Linked DNA regions of Astyanax mexicanus. The protein of the gene in region 1 interacts with the protein of each later gene in a pairwise test. Links are inferred from orthologs where the notes say so. Each region holds a gene or a part of one and is shown on either strand. Other genes may lie near its edges.

What was found. The genes of interacting proteins can lie anywhere in the genome.
Region 2: the proteins of bend7 (region 1) and eaf2 interact in binary tests that used the Homo sapiens proteins (3 or more experiments, as listed by UniProt). The two-hybrid records come from large-scale screens. The link is inferred for Astyanax mexicanus from reciprocal best matches to the Homo sapiens genes BEND7 and EAF2.

What each region holds. Positions count from the first base shown.
Region 1 is NC_064416.1:15,392,786-15,399,642, reverse strand, and holds the start of bend7 (BEN domain-containing protein 7), read left to right. Parts: upstream 1-3,830; 5' UTR 3,831-4,144; coding exon 4,145-4,208; intron 4,209-5,670; coding exon 5,671-5,745; intron 5,746-5,912; coding exon 5,913-6,188; intron 6,189-6,857. Other genes in the region: prpf18 (pre-mRNA-splicing factor 18), read right to left, coding at 726-803, 1,940-2,005.
Region 2 is NC_064418.1:8,903,332-8,910,448, reverse strand, and holds the start of eaf2 (ELL-associated factor 2), read left to right. Parts: upstream 1-4,116; 5' UTR 4,117-4,240; coding exon 4,241-4,343; intron 4,344-5,375; coding exon 5,376-5,470; intron 5,471-5,558; coding exon 5,559-5,695; intron 5,696-6,382; coding exon 6,383-6,546; intron 6,547-6,866; coding exon 6,867-7,103; intron 7,104-7,117. Other genes in the region: naxd (ATP-dependent (S)-NAD(P)H-hydrate dehydratase), read left to right, coding at 407-495, 593-701, 801-851, 959-1,063, 1,218-1,338, 1,775-1,895, 2,146-2,296. UniProt on the Homo sapiens protein: Acts as a transcriptional transactivator of TCEA1 elongation activity. Acts as a transcriptional transactivator of ELL and ELL2 elongation activities. Potent inducer of apoptosis in prostatic and non-prostatic cell lines.

The DNA.
Region 1 (6,857 bases):
ACTGAAACATTTTATTAATTTAAAAAATGTTCTACTGCAAAACATCAAAATTATACTGTTAGTATAGTGTAGTGTAGTATAGTGTAACACTTTAAACATACCGTAGAACTTACCATGAGTCTGATTTTGTGTGAAATAATAATATAACAAAATAATGTAACATACGAACAATGTAATGTACCACAATACTAAAGTGCTGAATATTTATTAATGCACATAAACTGCAAAAAAAAAAGAGTCATACAAAAAGCATTAACGCTTCACAGTATATAGAATACTTTTAGGACATAATACTACTATTATCAAAATCTAACTATTTATCTATGGGGTTTGTTAATTAATTATTTTTACAAATGTCTGTAAATGACAACTGCATGTCTAGGTATATCAAGGTACTTGCTTTTATACCCCTGAATTCAATAATTAAAAGTGTGTCCCAATAATGTTGTACTCTTGTCCATAAAGTGTATGTTTTTAATTCAAATATATGAGTGTAAATCATCGATAATCCAGTAAAAACCTTCATATCAAAAACTTCTACATAAACATTGTTTTACAATGGCATCACACAAAAACCCACCTGAAGCACCTATAGTTTTAAGAATGTAAGTCAGAGTATCTGACCAAAGTCAGAACCAGAAATAGACATCACCTCTAGTAAATGATTATTAGCTGTTATTTGTGAGAATTTAGTAAGAGATCAGTAATGCTGAGTGTTCACTAACCTTGTAGCCACATCTTTTGTAGTATTCTTCTTCCTCCTTTCGGGCTAGATCAGCACGCTTAAAGTACTTCTTTGAGCTCTAAAAAAGTAGAAGGGTAAAGTGTTATTATGACATGTTTGGGTTAGTGATAGACACAACAAAATAAACACTCAATAAATATCAGATCATTTAATATTAAAATGACTTCTGGGCATTTAAAATGGATTAAATCTGTCAACTGTTTCTATCATTTCTATCAGTTATCAAACCAACCTTGTCTAACCGTCTCTAAAAGGGCCAAAGACAGATATTAAACAAACAACCATTCTAACCAGATTTAACTAGGCCAAACCCTAACTGGATCTAATCGGGACAAACCAAGTTATCAAATCATCAAATTAGTCGACTCTCATTAGTTGCAGCCTTAATCCATAAAAACAGCTGTACATGATACAACTGTCTGAGCTCATAATCCTCCTCTCTATTACACTTGTTAATATAGTTTTAATATATTTAGTAATATGTTTAATGTAAATAAATCTAAATCCTTGCTTAACGTCCATTCTTGATTAATTTTAAACAATATAAACATTAGCTGGACTTTTTAAAGTAGCTCCTAAGGTGACCTCGTGTTGAACATAAATGTTTAATTAGATCTCGTTCTTTGGCTTTTACATCAGCTGGAAAACAACAAAATCGCCGGGTGCGTTCCAATCCGCGTTGTGTATCCACTACATAGTAGGCTACACGTATCTAGTGCATTCTAGAAAAATCGTAGGTCTAGTATGAGTTAAATCTAATCATATGTACTAGATACTGATAGCATACCAAATGCGTACTGGGACACATCATTTTATATGCGTTTTCTGAACAACTGAGTAGAACTAACGGGCTGTGAGTGGGTTTAGAACTCTAACCCTAGTGCAGTAGCTACCAAGTGTAGTTGAATCTAGTGAACAACGTAGTGTGCAGCATGCTAACGCTAGCTAGCTAATGTGCTAAATAGCAACTGGTAGCCTCTTAGTCCAGACTTTCTCGCACTCGCAGGAGTAACAATGTGAGTGTTCAGCGCTGATAGCTAACATTAATTTAAAAAGGAACCAATCAGCTAGCTAGCCAGGTTAGCTAGCTGGACAACACGCCACAGACAGATGCAGCTCAGATTGGAGCACAGCCGCCGTATGGAAAACTCCAGCGCTACCACCGTGAATAAAGAGCTTGTTTTCATCACTCACATCAACCAGCTGTTTCTCCTCCATCAGCTTCCTCTTCCTCGCGATCTCGGCTTTTAGGATATCCATGTTTATGAGCGCAGAGTAGCGGGTTTTCGCTAAACACGCTGATTTTGAATCCTACAGCTCCCAGACTGTTGTGGAAGTTGTATCCGGTGAGTTCCTGCCTGTGTTGGGGGCCGCAGAACGCGGTGGCGCTCTCTGGCGACTCCCACTGGAATTACAGACACAACCCTGCTACACGTTTTTATCATTAACACATTTTCTTTATCTGATGTACAGTTCCAGACAAAAGTTAATACACACTTAAAATACAGTTGTATTTTATTACAGCACACATTACCAATTTACAGTCAAAGGTTAGGTCTAAAATTAGCTATTTTCAGATCTGAATTATTTCCAGTAATGGAAAAAATGTAAGAATGCTGTTTTTGTCCGTTATGCACTAAAATAAATAATATTAGTAATATTCTACTATTAAATCTATATAGCAAATAAATTCTATTAACTAAAATATTTAATACTTTTTTATTTCTATTGAGCTTTTCATTTCATAAACCATCCCTGAACAGTAAACATACAATACAAAAGTTGGCATATGCTTCTTTATTTCAATTTTAAAAAGCATAGAGAGTGGAAAGCTCTTTTTAATTTTACATTTATGAATATAAAAAATAGCTAACATCCACATTAGAAGGCTTTAGTTTTCTCTTTTGAATATCTTTTGCAAACATAAATGAAAAACATTTTTGAAAAGTGATTCCAATCGATTTTCAAAAAGATTAAATATTTTTTAAAAGTGATTTGAATCGTTTGAAAAAAAAATATTTTCGAAAGATGGTTGCAATCAGTTCACATTTAAGCGCTGGTTTATGCTTGGCAGTGATTATATGCAACTGTGATTATTTGTATTTTTTTATATATATATTTCCATTTATCTTTGAAAAAAGTGACATTTGTGTGAAATCAGTGTTTATATTCTAGATGACAAAAGGATAGCAGATCTCCTGTTTTTATCACATATTAATATTTATTAGTTATAAGTCTTGGGTTCGATGTAAGGTGGTTGGATGTCTCTTTTATCAAAAAGAAAGCAGGATGGTGACGGATTACCAACAGATATTTAAACAAATAAACAAACCATATTTTTCTTTTTACTGTTGCAGTACTAGGATTTTAAATCCTAAAACATTTTAAAACTATTAAAATCTATTAACCATTTAGTTTATTATGTCAAATAGAAAGCTTATATTTATATAATTATGTTGTCCTAAATTTAAAAAGTAGCTGGAGTTTTAAAACCATTCACAGAGATACCATTATTGATTGGAGAAAGCGCAGTGCAGCGCCCTCTTTTGGTTCTGTGTGTAACTACATGCGGTTGGGTAATACATCACATGTGGTACAAACTAAGTTAAAACTGCCTGACTGGTGGTCACTTGTGGGCTGTTTTAGTAGCCTACAACAGTCGACCCAGGTATGTTGCAAGAAGATACCCCAGCTGGAGATATCAGTCTTATATGTTTCATATACTAAATGCTTCCCTGGACACACTGTGTAATTATTTATTTAAAAGACCATGATCATTATAGCTTTACAGTCTTTTTTCTATTGCCTATACAATGCATCCCATTAATCACACCAACACTGACCTGTTTAAAAAGGATAATGGAAGTGGAATTTGAATTGTGAGATGGATTAATTTGTTAGATAATCGATATCCATGTGAGGTCGAAAATGGATCAAACTTAAGAGAAAACTTAGTTTTTTTGTGTAAAAGTGGTACTTGTCCAGCAGAGTGGATCTGGACATTACTATTTGAGCCCCACAAAATATTAGCTACCATCAGGTGGCGCAAAGGACTAGATGTGACGATTTTTTTAAAGAATTAACTGATTTATTTATTTACATCACAAACGAGCGGCCCTGAATGGACGCCAGCGCGGAGAGCGCGATGCCCCGAGCTCAGACGCGCCTCTGACGGGCTTTGGGGAGCTGTGGCCGGGCAGGGAGGCGGTAGACGGGAGCTGTGGCCGCTCTGATGAGTTTTTACTGATTAAGCAGACGGACCACGGTCGGTCCCTGCAGGGCTGCTGCTGCTGCCACCGCCGCCGCCACCGCCACTGCCGCCGCCGCCACTGCTGCTGCTGATGAACAGGGCGACTCCGGTACCGCCGCGCGCGCACGGTCCGCTCTGTCTCCGGTACAATGGAGTTTGGGGAGAGGAGACGGAGCAGAAAATCTCCGAGCTTTAAACTGGTCAGCGAGCAAGGTAAGGAGGTTTAATGAGCGCAGCAGGGGCGCAGACAGCCAGCCAGCAACAAGCAGACAATAGGAGAGGGAGGGAGGGGGGGGGGGGGGGGGGGCATGAGAGAGAGAGAGTGAGAGAGAGAGCTGCACATTAACTGCATGACCACTAGCATGAAAAAAAAAACACGTCTGTGCTGAAGTGATGCTGATGCTGCTGAAGTGATGCTGATGCTGTTGCTATTGGAGATGCGCGCGCGCTTCCAAGCTTCCGTCTCCCGGGTGGTACCGGCATGTCTGACCGGTTCACCAGGAGAGATTATGATGTGACTCTCCGGACTGAGCCGTTTTAATCTCGCCGTTTTTCTTTCTCTCTCCCGGCTGCTTACAGGTGCGCACGAGACACCGAGTCGTTCTTCTGATTCGGTTCTTTTTTCTCTGAATTCCCCGAACCGATTCGAACTGAATCAACGTTTTATTGCATGTCAGAAATGAAAGGTCTGCAGAAGCATCTTATAGCAAGGAATAATACTTAAACTTATTCCGCTCCATGTATTATAGGTCATAAACTGAATAAAAAAGTGCAATTCAATATTTCTTGTTCATCTGGCATAAAAATTACATTAAGGAGAACAATTTTAAGTTTAGTTTTTTTTTTACAGAGTGCTGGTATAGGTAAAATGACAGAACCCTAAACGGTCTAAAGTAGAAAAACGAATATTTACAGACATAGTCTGATAGACTGTTCTCTATATTTCTTAAACGATTCCCTCAGTTTAGAAAGGATGATTTAGTTTAACCAAGGAAACAAGTTATTAAACAATTGATTAAACTTAGTAAATCAAGGAAATGCTTTAAGAAATCTAAATAATATTTTTATGTTTTGATACAGTATCAGTCAAACATTTGGAGTTTGGACACACTTTCTCATTCAAAGTTTGTCTTTACTTATTTATTTTCTACATTGTAGCTTAATGTTAGAGACATAAAAACAATAAGGGACACTATGGAATTATGTTGTAAAATCAAAAAAGTGTTTGGCCAACTGAGATAGGAGATTTGAGATGAGTTGGAGCTTCACAGCAGGAAAAGCAGCAGCTATTGTTTAGCACCCCCAGAAAATCCTTCAAGACACTGAGAAAACTATTCCAGGTGACTCTCCCTCATGAAGACACTGAGATTAAAATACTAAAAGTGTGCAGATCTTTTCTCTGTTCTTCTCAATTGGATGAGAACAAAAACTTCAAATCTACGGGTGAATCAATGATTCGTTGAAACATTTGCTCCATTGAAAGATTCAGTTCGAAAGAATTGGTTCAGTAAAATGAATCAAACGTTCAAGAATCTGTGTAATGAAGTTATGAAGCTTTTATGGAGATGTTCAAGCACAGTTTCATCCTTTTAGCATTTAGAGTTTCCTGAACCTGTGTATAGTGAACTAAACTTATGTTTAACATAGTAAATTAATAAAGAAACATTTCCCACAGACTATGGGCCTGGATTTGACAGCCCTGACCATGATGACACAGACAGTGAACCACTGGACATATCAGAGAATGAAGGTACTGTTCCCGATATTGCTTTTTATTTATAACTACATGCTGTTTTTACGTATATAGGGTAATTATACAGCATTTAGAACTAAACTAAACGTACACTTACACATTGTACACATTGTTTGTGTTGTAATATTATTTTACCACCTTTGTGTTAACTATTTCTCTTCCAGCCTGGCTAGGTGACGAGGGTACGGAAATTAAAAAGCAGATCACAGGTATGATGCGGCTGTTGAGTGACAAGTCTGGGCGAGGGTACCAGCGAGTAGAAAGAGAGGGGGAGGCTGTCAAAGAGGAACCCCAGGAGGAGGCTCTGAGCTGGACTTTACCTCAGAACCAAGCCCCTGAGGAACCCCAGCACTGCTGGAGCTCAGCTCCACCCATGTCCCACAGTCAGTACGACACTCGTTCCAAAACCCAGAAGATACTCAACAACTCCAAAAGCAGAGGTGAATCAGAATCACTCTGTTTCACCAGTAATGAGTAATATTACAGGCGTGGGTTACAGTTCTGACACGGAATGAGTCACAACATCTAAACATCTAAAATCTAAACATAAAAAATGTGTTGCACAAGTTTTAATCATGGGAAGTTTTCTAAAATCAACATAGGGTCCAAATTGTACATATAGGATCAAAAGATTTATAAAAAATGTATCTGAAAATTAATATGTTTACTTAAGTAATTAGTTAAGTAGACATTATTTTACAGAATGGTATTTAAATCACTATATAGACCAAATACCGCTAACAGGAATGTCTAAGACATTTGCAGAATCAGAAATCCCATTTTGGTCAGTTGGCATCTCCCAACCCGGTACATAACAGTGTGTTCATGTCCACATCTCTAGTAAACCAAGAACAAGAACGTACTGTGCTGTTATCACCAAGCTAGACACACTGAGATACAATTTACTTCTTGGGTTTGTTCAACAGAGTCTTCAGATTGAGAGATGCATACAAACAGCAGAGCATGGTGCAAAATGTGGCACCTTTGAAAATTAGATTTTAAAGCTCTTTCTCTGAGCAATATGTTTTTATTAGTTTTGTAAAACAAATACTAATAACTAATCAGCAATTCGTAAAAGCAATTTTTTTCAAGCATGGCTGCAAACTTTA
Region 2 (7,117 bases), on another chromosome or scaffold:
GTTTCCATGTTCTCATTGTGTCAAGTCTAAAAATATGGAGATCAGCTGAATTGGACACTCTGAATTGCCCCAAAGAATTTTAATATTGTAAATTGGAAACTCTAAATTCCCCCGAAAGAATTGATAATCTAAATTGGATACTCTAAATTGGTTTATTGAATACTCTGTGTGCAAGAATTGTGTGCGAGAAGTTTCGGTTGAGAGTGTGCTGTGCACAATTGGCTACCGCTTCTCACCTGTGTGTGTATGTGTATAAATGGTTTTGAGTGAAATGTGTCTATAAGGCGTTCTTAGGTTTCCAGAAATCTGCTATATAAATGTATGGTCACATAAGTGTGTGGGTTTTTTGTGTGCTTTTGAAAATTCTGCAGCATTTTTTCTTCTTCTTCTTTTTTTTTTTTTTTAGGGCGCAGATTTGTCTCATGTGTTCTGCACCAAAGATGCCGCTACTGTGATCAAGTCCTATAGTCCTGAGCTCATAGTTCATCCTGTGCTGTGAGTGGATTCGTCTTATCCTTAGGTTGGTTATTATACCTTCACTAATAATTAGAGATGTAAACAATGAGAGTTTTGTGTGTTTTGCAACTTCCAGAGATAGTCCCAATGCTGTGGAGGAGATTGAGAAATGGCTTCCCAGGCTACATAGTCTGGTGGTGGGTCCTGGATTAGGGAGGGAAGATGTGATCCTCAAGGCTGCCAAGGTAGGGGGAAAGACTAACAACTGAAGGTTGTATATAATATATGGCATTAGTATTGTGATAATATACTCCTTAATACATTTCCTTGTGGTTTTGTTATAGGAGGTTATTGAAAAGTCAAAATCCAGAGGAATCCCCATTGTTATTGATGCAGTAAGTAACACATTTATAAATAAATGTAATGTGTATTTGTGAAAGAGTAAGTAAGTGGTAAAAATTCAGATTATTTTTTAAATCATGTTTTGTGTGTTTTCCTACAGGATGGGCTTTGGTTAATTGCCAAGGACCCTTCACTCATCCAGTTTTATCAGAGGGGCATTTTGACGCCCAACTTTATGGAGTTTACTCGTCTCTATGAGGCTATGGTAAGGGTTGTATTCATGTTTGATTTGCTTTGTTGTCTTTTGTTAACTAGCAGTTTCAATAGTCAACAATCAGTTATACTGTTGCCATGTTAATCTATAAAGAAAGCCCAACACTGTTCACAGAATGCTGAACTATTTCACTTGTTATTTTTAGCACCACAGGCCCCTGGACAGTACAGACCTCAAGAGTTGTGCCCAACAACTAAGCCTTGCAATGGGCAATGTGACCATTGTTTTGAAGGGAGAGGAGGATATCATCACAGATGGCAACAGAGGTCAGCATAAAGACATATTTGCACTCTCTCTGTGAGCTAAGCAGTGGTTCTCAAACTATTTACACCATGTACCACAAATGGCACACATGCTTATTTTTGCACAGTAAGATAGACGTGTAATCCACAAACATATACACATGTCCTCATAGCTTTCACAGACTGTTCTTCATTCTTCTGTTGTGTGCGGCTTGCCCACTCTTTTGCAGTCTGTAAGTTAGTATTAAGTTATTTAATTGACTGTAGTTTTTTGGTTAATACAGTATTTTATCCTACTGAGACTCTCAGAATCAGGATTTAGACAAAAGAAAACAATACACCAGTGTATTACCAGTGTAGACCACTGGTCTATAGCTTTGTTTATTTATTTATTTATTTAAGTTTAAGATATTGTTTGTTTATTTATTTATTTTTTTCTTTGGTGTCTCTCTTTCACCAGTGCTAAGCTGTATTCATTCAGGGAGCGGACGTCGATGTGGGGGGCAGGGAGATCTTCTCTCCGGTTCTTTAGGTGTCTTCGCCCACTGGGCAGTCAGCTCAACCCCAGATGCAACCAAAGGGTAGGGCTGGTTATCATTTTAAAATTTTAATTACAAATGCCCAAATTATAATTATTTATTTTTTTTGTTCTTCAAAAACCTTTTTATAAAAAAAGTGACAATTATTCTCACACAGCGTATTTATTTAATAAACGTCGACAACAGCCCTAGTCCCCAGTTTAATCACTGTTTGGAGTAGTGCACTTAGTTGGGTGTCAGTAATGTTTTAATTTAAATATGTGGGAATATTTCTCTTTCTCTCACTTGCCAGAATGAACCCTACGCTCGTGGCTGCATTTGCCGCTACCTCGCTGACCAGGCAGTGTAACAGGCAAGCCTTTGACCGGCATGGTCGCGCCACCACAACCTCCGACATGATCCAGGAGATCTGCACTGCCTTTAGGAAGCTGTTTGAAAGTTAAACTAGATGCAAACTCCACGCCCTGGGTGCTCAGTTTCAGTCCTGTGCAACACGTTTTTTCAGTAGCTCCCCTTAACGGAAAAAGGAAGCAGAGAAACCAGATGTACACAGCACTTGTTCACACACAGTTCTCAATCATCATGCTTGTCTGCTAAGTCCTTTTATAACTTGGGTTTTTTTTCCTTCCTTCCTTTCCTTTCTCTTGTCAACTGTGCTCCATTTCCTGCAGTCTTTTTTTTTTTCCTTCATTTTTTTATTTCATTGTGTTGTAGCGTAGCTGCAGCAACAACAAGATCCTCACAACTGATCTAGAGTAGCACTTCCAAGTTGCTTGTTTGTTGTCTGTTCATTGTCAGAAATGGGTTCTGGTCACAGGCAGACATTAAATGTTGCATTATTTAATTTGACCCACTGACCTTTTGGGATGTATGGCGGCAAAACTGTTATAAATTATTATGATGTGGCTGGACATAGTCCACTAAAGCCTGCCGACACCAAACAGCAACATAAAAAATGTTAATGTTAAAAATATTTAATATATATATATATTTAATCGCATCAAAACAAAATTGTATCAGTGAGCAAAACAGCACCTTCCAGCACTGGTATTGTTTTCTGCACTTAACCAGACTTTTATTTCAAAGTGCCTCTTTGTAGGTTTTTAATCCTGTCAACCACACCAGCCCTTTATCTCTCTAACAATGTTGTATGTTTTAACATACAGGACAGATGTTTTATATAATCAAATCCTACAATAAAATCCTTTATTGTATTTTCATTCTGTTCTATTGGAACTTCTGCAGTTAGAGCCCCATATCTAAGTATGATTCATTGACCGTGGTGCTCTTTGATATATATCTAAAGATTTTATTAGATATGTAGTTTGCCAATGTACACCCACATATGTAAGAAAAGTGGTTATTATTCCTTATTAGGGCTCATATATATGCAAAGGCCATGTCTAGTCTCATACCCTTGTGGCTCTAGAAGTGTATCACTGTGCTCTCAATATTACCACATACTTGGATGACATCTGTGTTCAACATTTCCATTGATTTTTATTGATTTACATGATCTATATGATTTACAGCACTTCAGTGTTTTTCTTATGCATTCATGCCATATTGTTTTGTATGTCAAATTCTTTAAAACCCATGTTCTTATGTTTTGACCTGGTCCCTTTTTAAAGTCATATTTGCAGGTCTGTGTTCATAAAAAACAGATTTCTTTAATTAGAAATCGTTTAATGTATATAGGTATTGGGTATAATTTGCAGTGATGAGTTACATATCTTTATGTATTCTAACTTCTTTATATATTTTGTCTATCTTTAAAATTGTTACAGGAAGCTATAATAAAAATAGATTCCAGTGTATGTGTGTTTGTGTGGATCTTTTGTTTACAAATAAAACCTGTAAGGGTTTTAGTGTTAGGCTTTTTTTCTGCCTGTATATTGTGTATAATCACATATTTATAGATGGAAGAAAGGCAGGTGATCTAAATTAAATATTAACATTTAGGATTTTATTTAATTATCTGAAATTTTGCATAGTTCTCTCAGTAATTAATTCGCTCAGTTTACAGTGAGATATATTGATTTTGTTAATTTGTTGAAGGTACAAAATATAAAATGTAAATATATTATTTAAAAGTTATGCTATAAAATGTATAAACTTAGTTAAGTAGCTCTTATATTACATATCTATCTTGATTCTTTAGGGGCTCAGTGTTTAATACATTTTTTTTAATTTGTTTTATATTTAAACTACCTGTCTGTGGTTGGTTGGTGAGGACTTTTATTTTGAAGAGCGCTAATGGGCTGAAAATCCCTTTGAGGACCGAGTTGAGTTGTCCGCGGCGCGCCTGAAGTGGCTAGAGTTACTTGCGCTGTAGATGGTGTGGAAAGACGTGGAAAGTTGGAATCTGGTAGAAAACTGGATTTAGAATGAATGGAACAGCTTACCCAAACTTTGACAATCAAGAACATGTTCTCAAATTAGGAGAAACCTTTGAGAAACAGCCAAAAAGTGCCTTCCATACGGTGCGATGTAAGTGTTCGTTTCTTATATCGACATTTAAACGAAAATATTATATTGTTAAACACATATATGCTACTTTACCCATTGTTTTATCGGTGTTTACTTGTTTTATATATACTACTAATTCTAAAAATGTTACTCGTGGATTTTCCTGTTTTTCTGAAAATGAATGTAGTTTAGTTACAGGCAGTTTGTGAGGCAGCTGGCGGCGAGGAGTCTAGTTAACGTTACCTGCTGGCTAATAACAAGTGTGTTAAATGTAATAAATAGCGTTTAATCCATATTTATATTGCAGTAATATTTACTCATAGTTTGTACTAATCATATTATTGATGTGGTTTTCTAGTGTTTGGGTTAATTTCTCTCTTCTGTTTGAACTGAACTGTTAACTTTAGACTGCAGTTCACCGTGTAGAAGCGCCCCCTGCTGGAGCTGCGGCTCAACTGCTGCTGAACTCCGCTTTTTTTATAAAGTTTAAACTAAGTTACAGTTTTTATTCACATGTATTTTTGGTATATAATGAGTCAAAATATCACGTACATTAAAATCTATCAATGTAGAAGCAGTTTAAAAGTGTAAACTTGTATTTACAACAATTTAAAGCCTAGTGTATCATATTTCACCCTATTTGCAACATTTGTTTTGCTAGTTAACCGAGTAATTTAATTTTTAACCCTTTATGCCACATTATTTTTATTTTTTTGGAAGGATAATAATAACCACCACTGCTTTAGCATTGTTCCCAACAAAGTGGTCTAGCTGCATAACAAAACCAAATGTGAAGTTTTGAGGCATTATGTGAAACCAAAAAAAAAATTTTTTTTTTCTATATATGTTTTTTTTTTTTGTTTTTTGTTTTTTGTTTTTGCAATATCATCCCTAGTGTAAATATTTAATTTGGTTAATTAATCACTTACATATACAACTTCATTGATTTGATTTCCCAATTTCATGTAATGAAAATAACAAATATTTTTTTCTTAGAATATGTGCTTATAACACTCCTCTCTGATGTCTGATGTCTGTATTGTGTTTTTGCAGATGACTTCAAGCCCGCCTCCATAGACACTACCTGTGAGGGAGATCTAGAGGTGGGCAAAGGAGAACAGGTCACTATAACACTGCCTAACCTGGAGGTATGTCAGATGTAGGTCTGTGTGTTCTACAGTAATTGAAGAGAATATAAAGTGATATTGTGTTAATATTACTCTTAATCCCTCACAGGGATCTACTGCTCCAGTCACAGTGTTCAAAGGGTCCAAAAGGCCGTACATGAAGGAGTGCATTCTTATTGTAAACCATGATACCGGAGAGTATCGCCTGGAGAAGCTTAGTAGCAACATTGCAGTTAAAAAGACAAGGTAGGTATTCTTTACCATAGTTGCGTTTCATTTGATTCTGTGCTAAATTATTATATAAAGTGATACAGGTGCAAAATCTGCACTGAAAGGCTTTGTCAAACACACTGTGTGAATGAAGTTACACTTATACACACAACCATTACACTCAGCACTCATTCACACACACATTGGTGAGTAGCAGCAGCCAATTGCACACAGCGTACTCTTAACCGGAAACAACTTTTCTGCATCCAGCACTGAGAAGCTGACCTAGCACAGAGTGCTAATCCATAGCTGGGCATACAATCATACACAAACACACCTACACACCAGGACAATTTAGAGTACCCAATGGTTATGGGCAATTTAGTGCACCCAATTGTTCCCAATTGTTGCAATTTAGAGTATCATATTGTTAGAGTACCCAAATGTTCCAAGCAGTTTCGAGTACCCAATTGTTCCCAAGTGTTGCGATTTAGAGTACCCAATTGTTCCAAGCTATTTAGAGTACCTCATTGTTCTTGGAAAATTTAAACTACCCGATTTTTTCCAATTGTTGCAATTTAGAGTACCCAATTTTTTCTGAGCAATTTAGAGTACACAGTTTACCTGATCTCCATGTTTTTGGACTGCAGAAGGAGACCGGAGTCCACAGAGGAAACCTAATAAAATGTTCGTCTTTCTCTCTCTTTCTCTGGCTACACAAAGGGCTGAGGGCAGCAGTAAGATCCAGTCACGTCTGGAGCAGCAGACCAATCGGCTCAGTCAGCAGATGAAGAGTGGCAGTGGAGGGAAAGCTTCAGCCAGCTCTAAGAGTTCCCCCCCTAAAGAGAAGATGTCTCCTGCGTCCCCGATGGATGATATTGAGAGAGGTAAAGTTTGTGCTTTGGCTGTTTGATATAAAAAAAGTACTTATTATATTCTTCAAGTAGAAGAGTGACTCTTATATAACAACTAAGAAAGTCAAAAATTGTATGAAAGCAATAGTTTTCAGAATGATCAATTTACTATTCACCAGGAGGGGATTTTATTACCATTCTGTTTGAATCTCCATTGAACAATTTTGACTTTTCACACATTTTATAAACAACAGATTAACTCTTCCAGTATTTTTATGGCGCAGAAGGTTCCAGCATGTTCATAGACTGCTCTTCCAGTTGCACATCCTCTCGTGTCTCCATATGTTGTGTAGAGCTGATGGCTGAGGCGCGAGTGATGGATCAGATGAGCAGTGGCGACAGCTCCTCAGACTCTCACAGCTCCTCATCGTCCAGCAGTGAGGACAGCTCCAGCAGCAGTGACTCGGAGGATGAGCGCCGTCCTCCGTCAAGTGGACACGGAACGGGCTCTGCCCCCACCCAGAGCATGCCCATCCTCACCACTCAGGAGCGCATGGAGGACGGGGGTGGACACCTCATGAACACACTCAGTGAGTATTACACT